Linked DNA regions of Macaca mulatta. The protein of the gene in region 5 interacts with the protein of the main gene of each other region in a pairwise test. Links are inferred from orthologs where the notes say so. Each region holds a gene or a part of one and is shown on either strand. Other genes may lie near its edges.

Region 1 (3,986 bases), on a different chromosome or scaffold from region 5:
CCCATATCTCACCGTGCTGAATTTTCATATCCAGGACCATGGTGTAGCTTTCCATTTATTGAAAAGCTTTTTGTTTACCTCTTTCTTTTTTTATTTTTCACTTATTATTGTTATTATTTTGAGGCCAGGCTCTGTCATCCAGGTTGGAGTGCATGGAGCAATCTTGAACTCCTGGGCTCAAGCGACCCTCCCACCTTGGCCTCCCAAGTAGCTGGGACTACAGGTGCGCACCAACACACCCTGCTAGGTCTTTTTTTTTTTTTTTTTTCCTAGGTATTTTGTGTAGAGATGGGGTCTCACTATGTTGCCTGGGCTGGCCAGGAACTCCTGGTCGCAAGCAATCCTCTCTCAGTCACCCAAAATGTTGGAATTACAGGCGTGAGCCATGGTCTGGAACTCCTGGACACAAGCAATCATCCCTTGGCCACCCAAAGTGTTGGAATTACAGGCGTGAGCCACTGCGTTGGGCCAGTTTACCTTTATTTATTTATTTAGAGACACAGTCTTGCTCTGTCACCAAGGCTGGAGTGCAGGGGCAAGATCTTGGCTCACTGCAACCTCTGCCTCCCAGGTTGAAGCAATTCTGGTGCCTCGGGCTCCCGAGTAGCTGGGATTACAGGTGCGCGCCACCCACGCCAGGCTAATTTTTGTATTTTTAGTAGAGACGGGGTTTCACCATGTTGGCCAGGCTGGTCTTGAACTCCTGGCCTCAAGTGATCCGCCTGCCTCGGCCTCCCAAAGTGCTGGGATTACAGGCGTGAGCCACCGCGCTGGGCCGGGCCAGTTTGCCTTTTCAGTAACTTTTTATAGTCTTCTTCATAACATCTTGCATTTCTTGTACTAGATATATTCCTAGACACCTTATCTTTTCTGTTACTCTTATCAAGTACTCCTAATCTCACCCCTTGTTTCCGCTGTCGCTCTAGAGTCTGCCAATAATGAGACAGAAAAAAATTACTGAGCTATGCCTGGTAATTTTCTGATTCTCCGCGTTCCTAAATCTTCCACTAGTTTCGGACCACTGCTGCACCCGTAGCCCCAACTGCGCGAAACTCTTCTCAGGAAGCACTGAAAATGTCGCAACTCGCCCGGAGGCGGAGCCGGTACGGGCTGACGTCAAGGGCACACAACACCTCAGAGGCAGGGAGGGCGGGGCCGGCAGGGGGACCTGCTGCTGGAAGAGCAGCGGCCCAAGCCAGGGCCATGGCGAAGCTGCTGAGCTGCGTCCTAGGCCCCCGGCTGTACAAAATCTACCGGGAGAGAGACTCTGAAAGGGCCCCGGCCAGCGTCCCTGAAACGCCAACGGCAGTCACTGCCCCCCATTCCAGCTCCTGGGTGAGTCGAGTTCCTCCCCGCCGAGGAACGTGGTACAGTCCAAACCCTTTACGGCCTTTGCTCCTCAGAAGTGCCCATAATGGGAAATAAGGGGAGCCTGCTTGTCAAACCAGTCGTCCGCAAAGTCTGCGCTCTGTGTGCTTCCTGAGTTAAAGTCACGCCTACGGACTGGCCGCCTCCTTTCTTTTTCGCTCTTTACCGCTATCTCATTTCGACTGCCACTCCTTGCTCTTTCCTCTCCGCGTCCCCCCACCCTGTCTGTCGTGGTTCGTGCCAGTCCTAGTTGAGTCTTAAGTCCCGGGAAAGAGACCCTGCGCGGACTGGAGAGCCGTTGAATTTTGCCGTCGAACTCCCAATTTCCTCTTTCGCAATGCCTCTTCGTGCCTCCCTCGGCTCCGTTTTTATCTTCCCTTTACCCTCGCCTTGAATTTCAGAATGACTTTTACAGATCCTGTATCCGTAGGTCCTCCCCTCAACCCCCGCCCAACCTAGCCTGGAGACCCGAGTCATTGTATTCTGGAGAGCGGGCGGGTGGTGGTAGGCTGTTCTAAATATTATCTTCCTCTTTATCAGTTGTCTCACATTGTGTTACTGTCTCCTACAAACTGCCCGCTCCTACCCACATTCTCTTCTTAGTCAACTACTCTTATTTCTGATGCTTTTCTTTCCCTCTTAGATTGTCTTGGTGTCTTTCTTCTGAAACTAACCCTTCTCCCCATATGCACGCGCCTGCAATCCATTTTAAACTAGACTGTGGAAAAGGAGCAAAAATCGTCCAATGCTGCTTTCACTTTTGCTTCCAAGTCCAGCTCCCTGTGTTTGTTCCCATGGTCAGGGGTGGGAAATTAGGTTCAGGGTGAGGGTGAGGAAGAGGGTTTTCTGTGGGGGCCGGGGATGTCTCAAGAGAGATAGTCAACGAGAGTAGAACCGGAGGACACACAGCAGAGCTTCTGAAAGGGAAGGAAAAGGACCTGCCAGTGGCAGGGTCCTTAAGGAGGCCATCTGTTTTGGCAGGATACGTACTATCAGCCCCGTGCCCTGGAGAAACATGCTGACAGCATCCTGGCACTGGTATGTCTACCCTGGCATCTGGGACTCTCTGCATCTTTCAGACCCACCTGTCCTCTTGAACTTAGCCTTCCCTAGCTTGGGAGCAACAGTACCCCTGGGGTTGGGGGATGCTCTGGGCTCTGCAGCAGACCTCTCCAACACAGACACACAGACACACTCAAAGTGTGCATACTTGGCACTCCCCTTTGGTATGTAGCACTGCTTTCTCTGGGGGCAGCCTGAGCCATAAGGAAAACATGTTTACTCTTGGGACCATCTGCAGGTGCTAAGTCCTGCAGTTCCCCAGTGACCTGTCCTCCCTGGCAACTAACCTCTTTGGCTGCAGGGACAGCTGTTTGTTCTGGCACAGTTCCTGTGGTGACGTCTGCGCATCTCTTGGGGACCAGGTCAGGGGCTGTCTTGAGCAGGGCCAATTGAAAAGGCTTGATTAACTTGAGTAGACAGAGAGACTGCCTTTAAATGTGATGGAATTATGCCTGGAGATGGAAGACATAATTCTTCCATAATTCCAGAGGAAGAAAATAGAACCTGTACCTAGTTTTCCCAGCCTCCATTACACTGACACACTACTTTTCAACAAATATTGAGCATCTACTGTATTCATGGTGTCATACAGCAAATATGATATGATATCCCTCAGGTTGTCCATCTTGCTCAGAGTATAGGCCTGGAATGGCAGGCGTGTGTGTGTGTATGTGTGTGTGTATGTGTGTGTATTGATTGCCTGTCCCTGTCTCTCTGCTGCAGGCTTCAGTATTCTGGTCCATCTCTTATTACTCCTCTCCCTTCGCCTTCTTCTACTTGTACAGGAAAGGTCAGTGTGGTTTCAAACGTGGTGGGGTAGCAAATGGGCAGGTTGTTGGCAGAGGAGCCAGCTCCCTAAAGAGGAGAGGGGACCTGTGAGGATGGCTTGGCTTCCCTCTTCCATCAGGCATCTTCTTCCTCTTAGGGTATGGCTGTTCCAAACAGGGAGTGTGGGGTGGAGGTTGGGGCTGAACTGGGAAGAGGAGCTGAGGAACACTGCGGAGAGGGTCTCACATTGTCCCTCTCCCTTCCCAGGTTACTTGAGTTTGTCCAAAGTGGTGCCGTTTTCTCACTATGCTGGGACATTGCTGCTACTTCTGGCAGGCGTGGCCTGCCTCCGAGGTAGGTCAAGATGAAACCTGGTTTGAATCTTATCTGTCACTGTCACTGGGTACATATTAAGTACCTTGTGCAAATACAGTTTAGTGATGGGCCCCGAGAGGGAATCATTGAGAATGGTTTAAGGCATGATCTTTTCCTTAAAAGACTTGGGTTATAAATATGAAAACAACAAGGTTTGCTTTTTTTTTTTTTTTTTTTTAAGAGAGAGGGTCTCACCATGTTGTTTAGGCTGGTCTCAAACTCCTGAACTCAAAGTGATCCTCCCACCTCAGCCTCCTGAAGTACTGGGATTGTAGATGTGAGCCACTATGCCTGGCTGCTATTATCTAGAAAAGATGCATATACCCTACAACAATTCTATATATGTATACACACTAGGGAAACTCCTCCACATGTATAAACAATATATATGTACAAGAATACAACATACAACA
Region 2 (4,051 bases), on a different chromosome or scaffold from region 5:
GAAAGAGGCTAGCACTGTGCCCCAAAGGAACTCTGAGACCTAGCAGTAAGAGAGAAAAACCACAAAGGAAGACAGAAAAAGAAAGTGATAAAGCAGACCGCAATACCTGGAGGGAAGGCAGGGGTTTGGAGAGGAAGAAAAGGGGGAGGGGTAATTATTAAAGGATTGGTTTCCCAGAACCAAGGTTAAATTTCCAGGAATCCCAACTCTACTCCTCACTATGGTAGACCCTGGGCTAGATGCTTTGCCTCTTTGGGTCTCAGTTTTCCTCATTTGTAAAATGTGACTAATACTCAATAGAGCTATGAATTTTTAAAATAGACAATCTGTTTCTAGCAGTCTTTTTGATATGTTGTGTCTTTGAAGATAATTTCAAGATCCCACCAACCCCTCCTCTCTGAAGGCACAAGCATACCTCTTCAACTGTTAGCTCTGAAGAAATATTGGTGGGACTAAACTCTGGTTATGCGAGCAGTCAGGATACACCACTGCTTGAATAACACCAATGGTCAAGCTGGAATGGGCTTTAGGAACCACTACTCTAACCCTCTTTTCTGTAAACAAGGCACTCTATCTAGCACAGCAAGATTAAAAGTTCTGCCCAAGGATGCAGTGAATTCCCAGAACTAGAACCAAATCAAGGAACCTGCGTCATAACTAGAAAGAAGGTCACAGACTGAGCACCTTGGGAGCAGCTCAGCGCTGGTTAAAACATAACCCTAGGGAAGCTGAAATCTGAGTGACAGTCTTAATGGCTTAAAAATTATCACAGGAGTAAAACATTTAACACCAAACTATGAGCATGAAAAGAACAGAATGCACTGAAATATTCAGAATACACATAAGTATTTATCTATTTCCAATACTTAACAGTGTGAAGTCCACAGCACGTCATTAATTCTGGTTAATAACAACTATATTAGAAACTGAGAAACAGTATGACACGGAGGTTAAGGTCTCCGAGAGCTCCACAGTCCGTCAGACAGGGTTAGAATTCCGGCTCAAACACAGATCAGCAATGTGAAACCTTTAGGAAGTTACCGCATTTCTTTGTGCTTTGAATACTCCGTCTGTAGAACGGGGATTATAATCGTGTAAAGATTAAGCGAATGATTACAGACTGAGTACTTATACTGCTACTGTAAACTATTAGTAAAATATGACTGTATTTTTTAAATATCATTGCTCTAAAGATTGGTATCACCAGAACTCGGCAAAATTTTCAGGTATCCAAGGTCCAGAAACCAGCAAAGTATTTTGTAAAGGATCCTTTACCGAGTAAGGGATTAGCTCACCCCTCTATAAACTGAAAACCCTTTGGTAATTCCTGAGGAATGGAAGAGCCCTAATGACTTTTTTTTTTTTTTTAAAGGAAAAGGGGTACAAGAGGTTTCTACTGCTGGGCTAAGGCCCTGCTGGCTTCTGGTAGCTATAAAACCACGAACGTTAGGTAAGGATTAGAGAAGAAACCCAGAGTGGCTGCGAATCAAGATAAGACATCAGATAACAGCAATTATTTTACCATGATGTGACATGTAATCCTGATGTTCCTACCTGAAGATAAAGAGCACAATTTTAAAAATCTCTGCTCCTCCATTTCCAAAATCCAACAGCTGCTGGTCCCTTTACCACTTAAAAGTCATACTCTGCCCTCCAATTCGGCTGCGCAGCCCACATTAGAGAAACACCAGGCAAGGGACGGGGGAGGGGGTAATGGGGAAAACGCCCGGATGCTGAAAGACACCTAATGTTTCTTCTCTGTTCCTACTCACTACCTGCGCTAGTTTTAACTACTTAAGCCGGTGTCCAAAACACAGAAAAAACGTCTCAGTCCTGCCTTATCGCGTGCAGGTGCCAGGTGATCAGAAATCAATACCGGGGGAGGCTGGCTGTCCCTACACATTTCCCGGAGCCTAGAACGATGAGGCAAGAGGGCTGTTGCGCAGAGAACGTGACCTTGTTTTTCAGGCCCGGACTGTCTTGTGCTCCCCTACCCCCCTGTCATGCAAGAAAAGAACCGAATAGCTTCTGAACCTTTTCCTCCCAAGCCCAATGATATGACAGCCAAAGTCAACTTCATTAAAGGAGAACCAGCCAAGGCAGAAATCGACCGGGTTTGCGCAAACCTCACCGCACAGCACAGTGTCCCCGCGTTCTTAAAGGGAGCCAATCCACGGCCCTGATCTAACCACTCTCGCACACAGGGGCGCTATTTTGCGCACCTCAACCCACACAGGGTCTCAGTATTGCTGAGACCGTGTGGGTTGCTGAGTCACTGAAGATGGCAGCTCGGCCCCAAAAACACCGTCAGCCCTGAAGTGGGGTTCAGGCCCCAGGCATATGTGGTTTTAAAAGCTCCGCAGTCTGGACGTCCATTGGCTCGGGCACTGAAGGGCGTTCAGGATTAACTAATTATCGGCACCTCCCTTCCCCAGAGTCGCCTGGGCGCCCCAGGGAAGCCATCTCGACTCCCAGCCCCCGCCCCCGCGGGCCCTTCCCCTCCCATCCCCCCGCTCCTCTACACTCACGGGGACCCTGTCCGGATATTTCTTCCGGATCTTTTCTCCTTCCTTTTTCCGATACTCAAAGGGATGGTCCTCCTTGTACTGGAACTTCATGATGCACCGCAGGGCTTCCGAGATTCCCCGCGCGGGGCCTGCCTCCTTCGCTGCTGGCCCTGTCCAGCTCCCTCCGCCGACGTCAAGGTGTGCTCAAATAGCTACAGAAACGTCCGCTCCCGGGGCAACAGCGCTGGGCCGAGCGTGCAGAGGGGGTTCGGTGTGGGGGGGATCTCGGGTGAGCCTGCCCGGAGATAGAGGAGAGCCAGGTGGAGAAACACCGGCGGCTTTTCGCTGGAGCTGGGAGCACAAAAACAGTTGGGTGGCGCGTCGGGCTGTGACGTCACCCTGCGCGCCCCGCCCCGCCCCCCAGGCGCCGAGGGCAGGGGGCGGCCGAGTGCTGTCTTAACTGCGTTTCCTTTCTGGCTAACGTTTTTCAAAATCGATGTCATTGCAAACATCAAAACATTCTAGTTGTGTTTTATTTTGTGACTGTGAAAGACGGTTTTAAGACAAAAACAATTTTAAACATGTTTTATTCCCCCTCCACTGTTTTTCTTGGTTTGGCCCCAAAACAAATACAAAAGGCGAAAATCCTTTTCCTGCTGGTTGGGATCCAGCCTCAGGGGAAAAGAGGCCCAGGCCTCCTGGGATCCCTTTGGCCAATGCAGAGCTGTCCCGTGCTTGCACCGTGCCCTCTGCGCTTTCCGCTGCCCCTCCCGCGGCCCTCCTCCCGCGCTGGCGTCACAGTGTTTGGGCCGCGCCGCAGTTCGCTCCTGAACAGCAACATAAACAGAGCGTGACTCAGGAATCTGAAGAGAGGAGTCAGATGAAGGACGCGGAGTGTAATCAAGGTCCAAAGGAGACGTGATGTCAGTCAGGACTACGGAGGGCTTCACGTACAATCAAATACAGAAATGATTCACTTTCTAGCCGGACGCGGTGGCTCATGCCTGTAATCCCAGCACTTTGGGAGGCCGAGGCAGGGGGATCACCTGAAGTTAGGAGTTCGAGACCAGCCTGACCAACATGGAGAAACCCCGTCTCTACTAAAAATACAAAATTAGCTGGGCGTGGTGGCCCATGCCTGTAATCCCAGCTACTCTGGAGGCTGAGGCAGGAGAATCGCTCTAACCCGGGAAGCGGAGGTTGCGGTGAGCCAAGATCGCGGCATCGCACTACAGCCTGGGCGACAAGAGCGAAACACCGTCTTAAAGAAAAAGAAAAGAAAGAAAGAAGTGATTCACTTTCTGCCATTAACTCAGAAAGGAGGCTTGTCTTCTGGAAAAGAGAGTATCAAGCAATTTAGGTGATGACCTCAATTCTTCCCCCACATCTTATTTAGTTCCAGTGGTTAGGTATCCCTCACGTGGCTGGAAAGCGCTGCCTGGAATGCCAGTGGAAGATTGGGCATTGCGGCAGGTGCGGCGAAGCCTCGTTCTCGCTTTCCCCACCTAGAGTCAAAGAATAAAGACCTTCCAACCAGTACGGTA
Region 3 (3,514 bases), on a different chromosome or scaffold from region 5:
GGTGGAGGGGATTTCCTGTGTGGTAAGATGGTTAGTTCAAATCTGCATTTTGTTCATCATGACATAGAAGAGGAAATGTGGCATGTACTCAGAGATATACAGTTTATCCCCAAGACTGCATATTGTCCCTGGCTTAGCAAGAGCAAGTGGCTAACTCTCCTTGATAATTAGAAATTAGTTTTAACAATTGAATGAACAAACTGCAGTTCATTGTGCACTTACGCTGGCATAGGGTTCAGTACATCCACATAATCTTCAGTTGGTTCCTTCTCTTTTTCCACAGATGTACTCTGCTCTGTCTCAATCCTCCTTTTCTTTTCTCTCTCTAGGACTTCATGTAGTTTAATTACTTGCCCAGGTAGGAGTGACACATTTTGGGGAACTGACAGCTGAAACCAATTAAAAGAGTAGGCAGGCAAGAAAACAGCTTAATAACTTACAACTTTAGTAAAGATGAACCTGTTCTGATCCTACAGGACTGCAGTTACCTGACAGAGGTGAGTGAGTAGGGAATAAGGTAATAAGAAACAGGATTTTAGTCTAGGGTGGGTGTCTCAGAACTGCCTCTGCACCAACTACAATCTGCACAGAGTGCCTACCCTTCTTCCAAGGAATCTTTTGGTTTGGCCCCAAAGCAAAGAATACCCCACCTTGCACTAAAAGCTAATTCAAGTAACAACAAACCTCATATTTTTCATTCTGAGCTCACTAGTTCATCAATGCCAGGGAAGTTCCAGAACACCTTCAAGGTACCTTACTCTCTCATAAGTAATCTGAAATGATTTCCCCCAGCTATCTGGCAACATGGGATTCAAATGGAACTGTTCATTAGATGACTGAAGAGCGGCAGTCAGAGGTCCCTATTTTGTGTCTGTGGTGTGTTTCAAACATTCATTCACGTGTTAGAATTATGATATTTCTACTTATTCGTTGGTTTTGTGGTGGTTGTTACCTTTCCTAGAGATGTATTTCATATTGACTCACCTATATATGTCCTTCTGATTTATATTCATACCTCCGATTTTGACCTTATTATGACCAGTTCTGTGTTCTTGAAAGGTGTAGTTTGAATGGTAGGATATTTTTTGTACGTAACACTAGCAAGTCTGTATTTGGAGGCAGCCTTATGTGATTATCACCTTTATCTTCAGAGAAGGGTGCATGCTTTCCAGGAGGTATACAAGAAAGTTCATTAGAGTATGGGAAGAAAACATTATAACTTCACTTTCTATTAAGTTACTATTTCACTAATTTGTATTATTATATATGTTTGAATATGTGTACAAGTACATATAAAATTTACATAAACATTTACTAATAGGGATATACAATAAAAAGGGCTTAGAGACATTTTTAGATAACTAAGCTAATAACCAGTAAAACAATTTCCATATATACCAGAAAAAATAAAATAATGGGGAAAAATACCTAAGGAAGCACATATCTTTATTAATTGGCTATTATATCTCAAGCATTGTACATGTTGTATTGCAACTCCTCACAGAAATGCTGCAAAGTACTGTTACACGGGAGGGCGCAGTGGCTCATGCCTGTAATCCCAACACTTTGGGAGGGCAAGGCAGGTGGATCACTTGAAGTCAAGAGTTCAAGATCAGCTGGCCAACATTGTGAAACCTGTCTCTACTAAAAATACAAAAATTTTGGGTGACATGTGCCTGTAATCCCAGGTACTTGGGAGGCTGAGGCAGGAGGACTGCTTGAACCTGGGAGGCGGAGGTTGCAGTGAGCCGAGATCAAGTCACAGCACTCCAGCCTGGGCGACAGAGCAAGACTCCATCTCAAAAAAAAAAATGGTATTGTTATCCCCAATTTACAAATGGTGATATAGTTTGGATATGTGTTCCCACCAAAGCTCATGTTGAATTAGCCCCAGTGTTGGAGGTGGGGCCTGGTGGGAGGTGTTTAGGTCATCGGGATGAGTCTCTCATGGCTTGGTGCTTTTCTTATGTTAGTGGGTGAATTCTTGTGAGATCTAGTCATTTAAAAGTGTGTGGTACCTCCTCCCCACTCTCTGTCTTTCCTACTCTCTCCATGTGACATGTCTGCTCCCCCTTCACCTTGTGCCATGAGTAAAAGCTCCTTGAGGACCTTCCCAGAAGCTGAGCAGATGCTGGCACCATACTTCCTGTACAGCCTGCAGAACCATGAGCCAATTAAACCTCTTTTCTTTATAAATTACTCAGTCTTAGGTATTTCTTTATGACAATGCAAGAATGGCCTAATACAAATAGAAAAAAAAATCAAGCTCAGAAAGATTAAATAACTAATCCAGAGTCAAATAGCTAGTAAGTTATGGAACCAGGACCCAAAATGGGGTTTATTTGATTCAAAAGTAATGTCTCCATGCTTTCAACTACATACAGTCTGAGCTGCTCTCACTTCTCTACTAAAGTTATCCTAATAACAACATACTGTAAATTGTTCATATGCCGTGATCTGGAATCATAACACAAAACAACATTTACAGAGTACAAAATTGAGGCAACTTGTCTTCTCTTAAAAATTCACATAGGCTGGGCATGGTGGCTCACACCTGTAATCCCAGCACTTTGAGAGGCCGAGGCAGGAGCATCACTTGAGGTCAGGAGTTTGAGACCAGCATGGCCAACATGGTGAAACCCCATCTCTTACTAAAAACATTTTTTTTTTTTTTTTTTTTTTTTTTTTTTTTTTTTTTTTTTTTTTTTTTTTTGAGACGGAGTCTCACGCTGTTGCCCAGGCTGGAGTGCAGTGGCGCGATCTCCGCTCACTGCAAGCTCCGCCTCCCGGGTTCCCGCCATTCTCCTGCCTCAGCCTCCTGAGTAGCTGGGACTACAGGCGCCCGCCACCGCGCCCGGCTAATTTTTTGTATTTTTAGTAGAGACGGGGTTTCACTGTGGTCTCGATCTCCTGACCTTGTGATCCGCCCGCCTCGGCCTCCCAAAGTGTTTTTTAAAAAACTTAGCCGGGCATGGTGGTAGGTACCTGTAATCCCAGCTACCCGGGAGGCTAAGGCAGGAGAATTGTTTGAACTCAGGAGGTGGAGGTTACGGTGAGCCAAGCTTTCACCACTGCACTCCAGCCTGGATGATAGCATGAGACTCTATCTCAAAAAAAAAAAAAAATTATCATAAATTTTATCTTATATTCAGTTACTTATTTATGTGTGTGTTTTAATATAAAAATAATGCTTTTTATTCTTACTCCAGGAAAGAAACTAAAAACAAAATGTTTAGCCAAAACTTTATACGTACTTAGTGTACCAGGAAGATGCAACAAGTTTTTGCCAGTGTTTTTAGTGTACTCCTTGACACTTAGTCACATATACCCTTGGGATAGTTATACCCCGTATTGGAAGCACCATACCACACAGTGATACTTTCAACAACAGAGGGAAAGAGTGCAATTCTCCAGGATTTCTTCCTCTCCCTCTCAGAAGTCAACATGTTCTTCACATCTTTAACTGGTCCACTTTTCTAGCCTCATATAGCTTCCCTACACAGTAGTTGAACCT
Region 4 (3,428 bases), on a different chromosome or scaffold from region 5:
CACAGGGCTTTGTGGACCTCAGGGGGCTGAGGGGCCAGAAGCTGGGCCAAGCCCTCCAGTCAGAGTTGCCAGCAGGCGAGTGCTCGGGCAGAAGAGGTTCGAGTCCAGGGTCACAAGTCTCTGGTACCAAAAGAGACCCATGGCTGATAGTAAGGCCTGTGGGGAAGAACTGGAAGCTCCCCAACTTGGACCCCCCCACTTCGTGGCTCTGCACACCAAGGAGCCCCCTCCCAGGCAGGAAGGAGAAGAGGCAGGTGAGCAGGGCTTGTTAGGTTGTAGCTACTTAATAAATGTTTTTTGTTATGAAGTCTACCCTGAGACCACATCTGCATTGCACTCCTAGAGGGTTGGACCCTAATGTTCTGAACACTACACACAGGTGTGGGTTTCCAGAGCAAGCACTGAGGCCACAGAACACAAGTCTGTGCGCCAGAGCCCGGGGATGGTGCAGACAGCCCTACCAGCACCCTTCCCACTCCCAAGCAAGCAGCTGGAGGCACGGGGCCAGGCAGGCCTGAGCAATCTTTATTCTGCAGAGGGACAATGACCACAGATCCATACACCATGTGGAGACCGAGGGGCGGGGAGCCAGGGGCCAGTCTTTCAGGGGTGGGCAGGTCCAGGCGTGGGCAGAGCCTTGGGTGGGTGAGGGGCAGATGGGCAGTCAGGCAGGGGCCTAAAAAAAAGATGAACCACACAGCGGGGTGCTGGGGGCTGCTCCCAACCCTCCCCCATCCCAGCCAGCACCCAGAGGGACAACCCTAACACAACCGGCCCAGGATCCACCCAGGGGCAGAGTAGGTGGGTTGCCCTCTGACTAGGGGGGCACATGCCTGCCCAGCCCACCACGGCAGAGGCAGCTCAGTTCAGGAACCAGGAGCTCTCTGGGCAGGGCCTGACCGGGCCCCCCCCCACTCCCAGGCCGACCCCCCTACTGCTGGCTCAGAAGCCGAAGGTTTCCTGGGAGGCGTAGACCATGTAGAGGAAGCCGTCCTCGTCTTTCTCCTGCTCGTAGATGTCCGCGATGGGCGTGGACACGCTCACCATGCTGTGCTGGTTCACCAGCAGGAAGAAGGCCTGCGTGGGGTTCAGCTGCAGGCGGCGCCTGAGGCAGGCGGGAGAGTATGTGGCTGTAAGGGGCTTGGCTACGGGGCAACGTAGCCCTGACCCCCAGAATGATTCCCAGCCTTTCACACCCATCCTCACCCCACCTGTCACCTCTGACCCGGCACCGACTGCAGCCCCGACCTTGACCTTTCCAGCCGCCCCAGAACAGGGGTCCACCACCGGTCCCATCACCCCTGACCCCTTCTCGGCGGGAACCCGTCTCCCTTCCCGACCCAAGCCACCACCTGGCAGCGGCTGCCCACGCACCGGATGATCTTGACCAACTCGCTCATGTTGACATGGTCCGGGACCAGAAACTTGGTCTTGTCCAGGACGGGCAGCTGCTTCTCACCCTTGTAGCGCTCGATGATCACCTGGGAGCAGGGCGGGCGGGCAGGGGGTTGTGTCGGGGACGCGCGAGGCGGGGCCGGGGCAGGGCTGGGGGTGCAGGACTTACCGGGATTTTGCTGGGGTGCTGGTCGCGGATCTGCTGTACCTCCTTACAGCGGTCGGCTGCGGACAGCGGCCAGACCGTGAGGCCGGGTCGGCCCGGCCCAGGTCCTCCCCACGTCTCCGCCTGCCTGTCCCCAAGGGGCGGCCCCCGGCCACGCCCCAGCTCCAGCCCCCGCCCCCGGGGCCGTCAGGCCCCACAGCCCCTGGCACCTATCGTGGTGGGGAAGCAGGCAGCCCCCGCCCAGGCCGGAGCCAGCCTCCCAGCCCGAGGGTCCAGCCGAAGCCTGACGTCACGGGGCTGACGTCACCTGCGGCAGTCTGGGTCGGCCGGGCACCCCCCCTCCCCGGCACCCCTACCCCGAGCTCACAGCTCGCCTGCCGGGCCTCACCGAAGCTCCGCCGCTGCTTGAAAGGCCGGTCGGAGGGCATCGCGCGGGCCCGGCTGGGCGCGCAGGCCGGGGCTCTGGGGCGCGGAGATGTGGCTGCGGTTTGGGGGCTCCGGGGGCTCCGTGCCTCGCGCTCAAGGGCTCCGGCGCTCGCGCTGAGCACGGCGGCGGCGGCTGCGGGAGGTAACTCGCCCGGTGACGTCAGGTCACAACATTCCTTAAAGGGGAGGCCGGCGCGCAGCTCCCATTGGGCCGACGCACAACCCGCCCGCCCGGACCCGTGACGTCACGGCGCAGAGAGCCTGGGTCCCCGGCCCGGGACACGAGAGGCGGGGCTCCTGGGCGCGTCACAGTCCCGTGACGTCATGAGCAGCGCGGGAGCCTCTCCCGTGGCCCCGACTCTGGTGAGGCCGGGAGAGCGGTGGGGCCGCCCTGGGCCGATGGAGCGGGTGGGCCAGGCTGCAGCCCCGTGGCACCACTTCCTTCCCTCACCGAGTCTGTGTCAGGACTGACCCGCGGCTCTGGGCACCGTGGGAAACAGCGGGAGCCAAAGGCCCGGCGCCTTCAAGGGGGCTCAGGGCAAGAGAAGGGAGAAGGTGCGGGAGGCACAGTCAGACACAGGATAGAGCAAGACGCTAGAAATGAACGCCCAGGTTTGAAAAAGAATAATATAATTGAAGAGTAGAGCTATCGAAATTCAGGTCTCAGAGGATGTGGCAAGAAGGCAGAGCAGGACAACAGAAGAGAAATCGTGGACCTGGAGGCTGATAGCAAGCAGCTTACCAGAGGACAGGTGATGGAGAATTAAAAGGAAAAGGCCACGGATGGCAACGCCAGGAGAACTCGCAGGCCGGAGCAGAGCTCCACAGGCGAGCACTGAAAGACCTGCAGAGGCAGTTCCTGAATGAGAGCTGTCAGAAATGATGCTTAAAATCCAGAGCAGAAGGCACAGACCGAAGATCAACATCTTTTTTTTTTTTTTTTTTTGAAAGGGAGTTTCGTTCTTTCGCCAGGCTAGAGTGGTGCGATCTCAGCTCACTGCAACCTCCGCCTCCCTGGTTCAAGCGATTCTCCTGCCTCAGTCAGCCTCCTAAGGAGCTGGGATTATTAGGCGCCTGCCACCACGCCTAGCTACTTTTTATGTTTTTAGTAGAGATGGGGTTTCACCATGTTGGCCAGGATGGTCTCGATCTCCTGACCTCGTGATCCGCCCGCCTCAGCCTCCCAAAGTGCTGGGATTACAGGCGTGAGCCACTGCGCCCAGCCGCCAAAATAATTTTTAAAGAATGTACTTCAGTATCAAAGACATGGAACCCAAAAGGAAGAAATTAGATGGAAAAATGGTGAGCAAATTAGTAAACATGTCAGTAAATCTAAACAAGTATTTAATATGCAACATGAATAATGGATAATCTGTGGGCCACAGAAACAAGATGCATGAGACAGAAGAACATGGGAGACTGAGAGGGCAATCAGAGTTAA
Region 5 (3,514 bases):
TGTCTCAAAAAATTCCATCTCCAAAAAAAAGTACAAAAGGCCAGGTGCAGTGGCTCACGCCTGTAATCCAGCTCTTTGGGAGGCTGAGGCGGGCGAATCACAAGGTCAAGAGATCAAGACCATCCTGGCTGACGTGGTGAAACCCATCTCTACTAAAAAAAAATTAGCTGGGCATGGTGGTGTGTGCCTGTAGTCCCAGCTGCTCGGGAGGCTGAGGCAGGAGAATCGCTTGAAACCAAAAGGTGGAGGTTGCAGTGAGCCAAGATCGTGCCACTGCACTCCAGCCTGGGCAACAAGAGCAAAACTCCATCTCAAAAAAAAAAAAAAAGGTACAAGAATATCTAGAGACAAAATGTGAAGTTCCTCAGCCAATCCCCTGTGTACGTATGTATATTCAAGTGTACAGCGGGATAAATTTATTTATTTATTTATTTATTTATTTATTTATTTATTTTGAGACGGAGTCTTGCTCTGTCGCCCGGGCTGGAGTGCAGTGGCGCAATCTCAGCTCACTGCAGGCTCCGCCTCCCGGGTTCATGCCATTCTCCTGCCTCAGCCTCCCGTGTAGCTGAGACTACAGGCGCCCGCCACCAGGCCCAGCTAATTTTTTTATTTTTTGTAGCTTTAGTAGAGACAGGATTTCACCGTGTTAGCCAGGATGTTCTTGATCTCCTGACCTCGTGATCCACCCGCCTCGGCCTCTCAAAGTGCTGGGATTACAGGCGTGAACCACCGCGCCTGGCCTTTTGTTTTGAAATGGAGTCTTGCTTTGTCTCCCAGCCTGGAGTGCAGTGGCGCGATCTCGGCTCCCTGCAACCTCCGCCTTCCATGTTCAAGTGATTCTCCTGCCTCAGCCTCCCGAGTAGCTGGGACTACAGGCACGCCACCACACCAGGGTAATTTTTGTATTTTTAGTAGAGACGGGGTTTTGCCATGTTGTCCAGGCTGGTCTCGAATTCCTAATCTCAGGTGATCTGCCCACTTTGGCCTCCCAAAGTGCTGGAATTACAGGCTTCAGCCACCATGCCTAGTCTTTTTTTTTTTTTTTTGAGACGGAGTCTCGCTCTGTCGCCCAGGCTGGAGTGCAGTGGCCGGATCTCAGCTCACTGCAAGCTCCGCTTCCCGGGTTCACGCCATTCTCCGGCCTCAGCCTCCCGAGTAGCTGGGACTACAGGCGCTGCCACCTCGCCTGGCTATTTTTTGTATTTCTTAGTAGAGACGGGGTTTCACCGTGTTAGCCAGGATGGTCTCGATCTCCTGACCTCGTGATCCGCCCGTCTCGGCCTCCCAAAGTGCTGGGATTACAGGCTTGAGCCACCGCGCCCGGCCTGCCTAGTCTTTTCAGAATACTATGAAATGCTATTTATATTCTGTTCTAATATATACATGATTTTCATCCAATATTTGTGTTTTTGAGACAGGAATCTCACTCTGTTACTCAGGCTGGAGTGCAGTGGCCCATCTCCGCTCACTGCAACCTCTGCCTCCCAGGTTAGGGATTCTTGTGCCTCAGTCCCCCAAGTAACTGGGACCGCAAGCGCACTACCATGCTCAGCTCATTTTTTGTATTTTTTTTTAGAGATGGTGTTTCGCCATGTTGCTGAGGCTTGTCTCGAACTCCTGAGCTCAAGCAATCTGGCTGCCTCAGCCTCCCAAAGTGCTGGTATTACAGGCATGAGCCACCGCACCTGGCCAGGGCTCTACAGTTCATGTTCACATCATGTGTTATGTAGGGGGAAAAAAGGGAAAAAATTAAGACCCAGAGTGTAACATTTATGCTATCTGTACTAATCTGTGTTTCTGAATTTCCTCATTTAATATTAAACCAAAATTTATCTGAAAAAAATAACTACCTTAACATCTAAAAGAAAAAATTCCTTAGTATCATTAGATGTGTTTTCAATGTTAGATTTCTCAGACTGTTCAAACTTTTTTTATGGTTGATTCCTTCAAATAAGAACTAGCTTTTCCTTTATCTTACTGATGTGATGCCTTACACTTATTCATTTTTTTGTATGTTAAACCGCCCTTGCAGTCTTGGGATAAATCTCATTTGGTCATGGTGTATAATACTTTTAACATGCTGCTGAATTTAACTTGCTAGTATTTTATTGAAGATTTTTACATCTATATTCATAAGGAATATTGGTCTACAGTTTTATGGTGTCTTTGGTATCAGGATAATGCTGGCCTCACAAAATAAATCAAGAAGTGCTTCCTTTTTTGTTTTTTTGGAAGAGTTTGAGAAGCATTTGTGTTAATTCTGGAGAACTCACTTTTATTTATTATTTATTTATTTATTTATTTATTTTGAGACCGAGTCTCACTCTGTTGCCCAGCCTGGAGTGCAGTGGTGTGATCTTGGCTCGCTGCAACCTCTGCCTCCTGGGTTCAAGCAGTTCTTATGCTTCAGCCGCCCAGGTAGTTGGGATTACAGGCATGCCTCAGCCTCCCAGGTAGCTGAGATTACAGGTGCACATCACCACACCTGGCTGATTTTTGTATTTTTAGTAGATACGGAGTTTCACCATGTTGGCAGGCTGGCCTCGAGCTCCCGAACTCAGGTGATCCACCTGTCTCAGCCTCCCAAAGTGCTGGGATTACAGGCTTGAGCCACTGCGCCTGGCCAGAACCTGCTTTTAAATATAGCTTTCATGCCAACTTTCTATGTGACCTTAATCAAATATTTTTCAGGCCTCAGTTCCTTTATCTGTAAAAAGATATGTAATTGAATTAAATGCTCTTGAGTGCCTCTCTATCAGTTTGTTGCCCTACACTAGGGTCTAATTTGATAGAAAGATGTTGGCTTTCATTATAACAACTTGTTATCAAGGATGAATTTCTCCGTGAAATTAATAGAGGTACAGACTGGAAAGCTGAAGGAGCTTTAAGAAGTTATTTGATTTAGTCTTCTGTCTTTACAGCAGCAAATTATCCTCTCTGCCCCATAGGTACAGTAGTTAAGGTCCAGAAGGTTTAAATGATTTACCCAAAGTATATAACTAGTTAAGTGTCAGAACAAAAAAAGCTAGACCTCAGGTCTGTTTACCACAGAGCCCATAGTACACACGTGGCCTTTTCTGAAATTAGCTTAACTAGATAAATGATCTTTCTTCTGTTTTTCTTCCTCTGTAGGTTCTTTGCCCTGACATCCCTTCGTCTTGTGTTTTTACTTGCATTTGGCTTGATGATCATTGTGTGTATTGATCAATGGAAGAACAAAATCTGGCCTGAAATAAAAGGTGAGTTTGGTAGCATTTAGAACAGTCTGAACTGAAGATGGCCTTTCCTATAATTTGTACCTTTAGTATTAGGGGTTTATGAGGAGGTGTATGGAGCTGGGGACTGACTGTCTTTCGAAGTCTGAATCATTTGCTTTAGGAGGCACTTGAAGGACTTGTGCCCCAATTATGGTTCCTTGGAGCTGGGTTCTGCCCTTCCCATTGTTACTAAGCACAGGTAGTCTGTACTCACCACCTGACATATTTTTGCCAACATAATGGCCTGAGGAATA

What was found.
Region 1: the proteins of RETREG3 (region 5) and ABHD16A interact in binary tests that used the Homo sapiens proteins (3 or more experiments, as listed by UniProt). The link is inferred for Macaca mulatta from reciprocal best matches to the Homo sapiens genes RETREG3 and ABHD16A.
Region 2: the proteins of RETREG3 (region 5) and GABARAPL1 interact in binary tests that used the Homo sapiens proteins (3 or more experiments, as listed by UniProt). The link is inferred for Macaca mulatta from reciprocal best matches to the Homo sapiens genes RETREG3 and GABARAPL1.
Region 3: the proteins of RETREG3 (region 5) and STAP1 interact in binary tests that used the Homo sapiens proteins (3 or more experiments, as listed by UniProt). The two-hybrid records come from large-scale screens. The link is inferred for Macaca mulatta from reciprocal best matches to the Homo sapiens genes RETREG3 and STAP1.
Region 4: the proteins of RETREG3 (region 5) and MAP1LC3A interact in binary tests that used the Homo sapiens proteins (3 or more experiments, as listed by UniProt). The link is inferred for Macaca mulatta from reciprocal best matches to the Homo sapiens genes RETREG3 and MAP1LC3A.

What each region holds. Positions count from the first base shown.
Region 1 is NC_133409.1:150,617,225-150,621,210, forward strand, and holds the start of ABHD16A (phosphatidylserine lipase ABHD16A), read left to right. Parts: upstream 1-1,173; 5' UTR 1,174-1,203; coding exon 1,204-1,335; intron 1,336-1,616; exon of another isoform or gene 1,617-1,770; coding exon of another isoform or gene 1,771-1,794; exon of another isoform or gene 1,795-1,872; intron 1,873-2,349; coding exon 2,350-2,406; intron 2,407-2,731; coding exon of another isoform or gene 2,732-2,792; intron 2,793-3,153; coding exon 3,154-3,220; intron 3,221-3,465; coding exon 3,466-3,552; intron 3,553-3,986. UniProt on the Homo sapiens protein: Phosphatidylserine (PS) lipase that mediates the hydrolysis of phosphatidylserine to generate lysophosphatidylserine (LPS). LPS constitutes a class of signaling lipids that regulates immunological and neurological processes.
Region 2 is NC_133416.1:10,339,736-10,343,786, forward strand, and holds the start of GABARAPL1 (gamma-aminobutyric acid receptor-associated protein-like 1), read right to left. Parts: upstream 2,813-4,051; 5' UTR 2,619-2,812; coding exon 2,529-2,618; intron 1-2,528. UniProt on the Homo sapiens protein: Ubiquitin-like modifier that increases cell-surface expression of kappa-type opioid receptor through facilitating anterograde intracellular trafficking of the receptor. Involved in formation of autophagosomal vacuoles.
Region 3 is NC_133410.1:65,902,225-65,905,738, forward strand, and holds part of STAP1 (signal-transducing adaptor protein 1), read right to left. Parts: intron 390-3,514; coding exon 223-389; intron 1-222. UniProt on the Homo sapiens protein: In BCR signaling, appears to function as a docking protein acting downstream of TEC and participates in a positive feedback loop by increasing the activity of TEC.
Region 4 is NC_133415.1:87,344,307-87,347,734, reverse strand, and holds MAP1LC3A (microtubule-associated protein 1 light chain 3 alpha), read right to left. Parts: upstream 2,145-3,428; 5' UTR 1,990-2,144; coding exon 1,950-1,989; coding exon of another isoform or gene 1,929-1,949; intron 1,621-1,928; coding exon 1,565-1,620; intron 1,482-1,564; coding exon 1,375-1,481; intron 1,106-1,374; coding exon 943-1,105; 3' UTR 503-942; downstream 1-502. UniProt on the Homo sapiens protein: Ubiquitin-like modifier involved in formation of autophagosomal vacuoles (autophagosomes). While LC3s are involved in elongation of the phagophore membrane, the GABARAP/GATE-16 subfamily is essential for a later stage in autophagosome maturation.
Region 5 is NC_133421.1:66,945,796-66,949,309, reverse strand, and holds part of RETREG3 (reticulophagy regulator 3), read left to right. Parts: intron 1-3,135; coding exon 3,136-3,242; intron 3,243-3,514. UniProt on the Homo sapiens protein: Endoplasmic reticulum (ER)-anchored autophagy regulator which exists in an inactive state under basal conditions but is activated following cellular stress.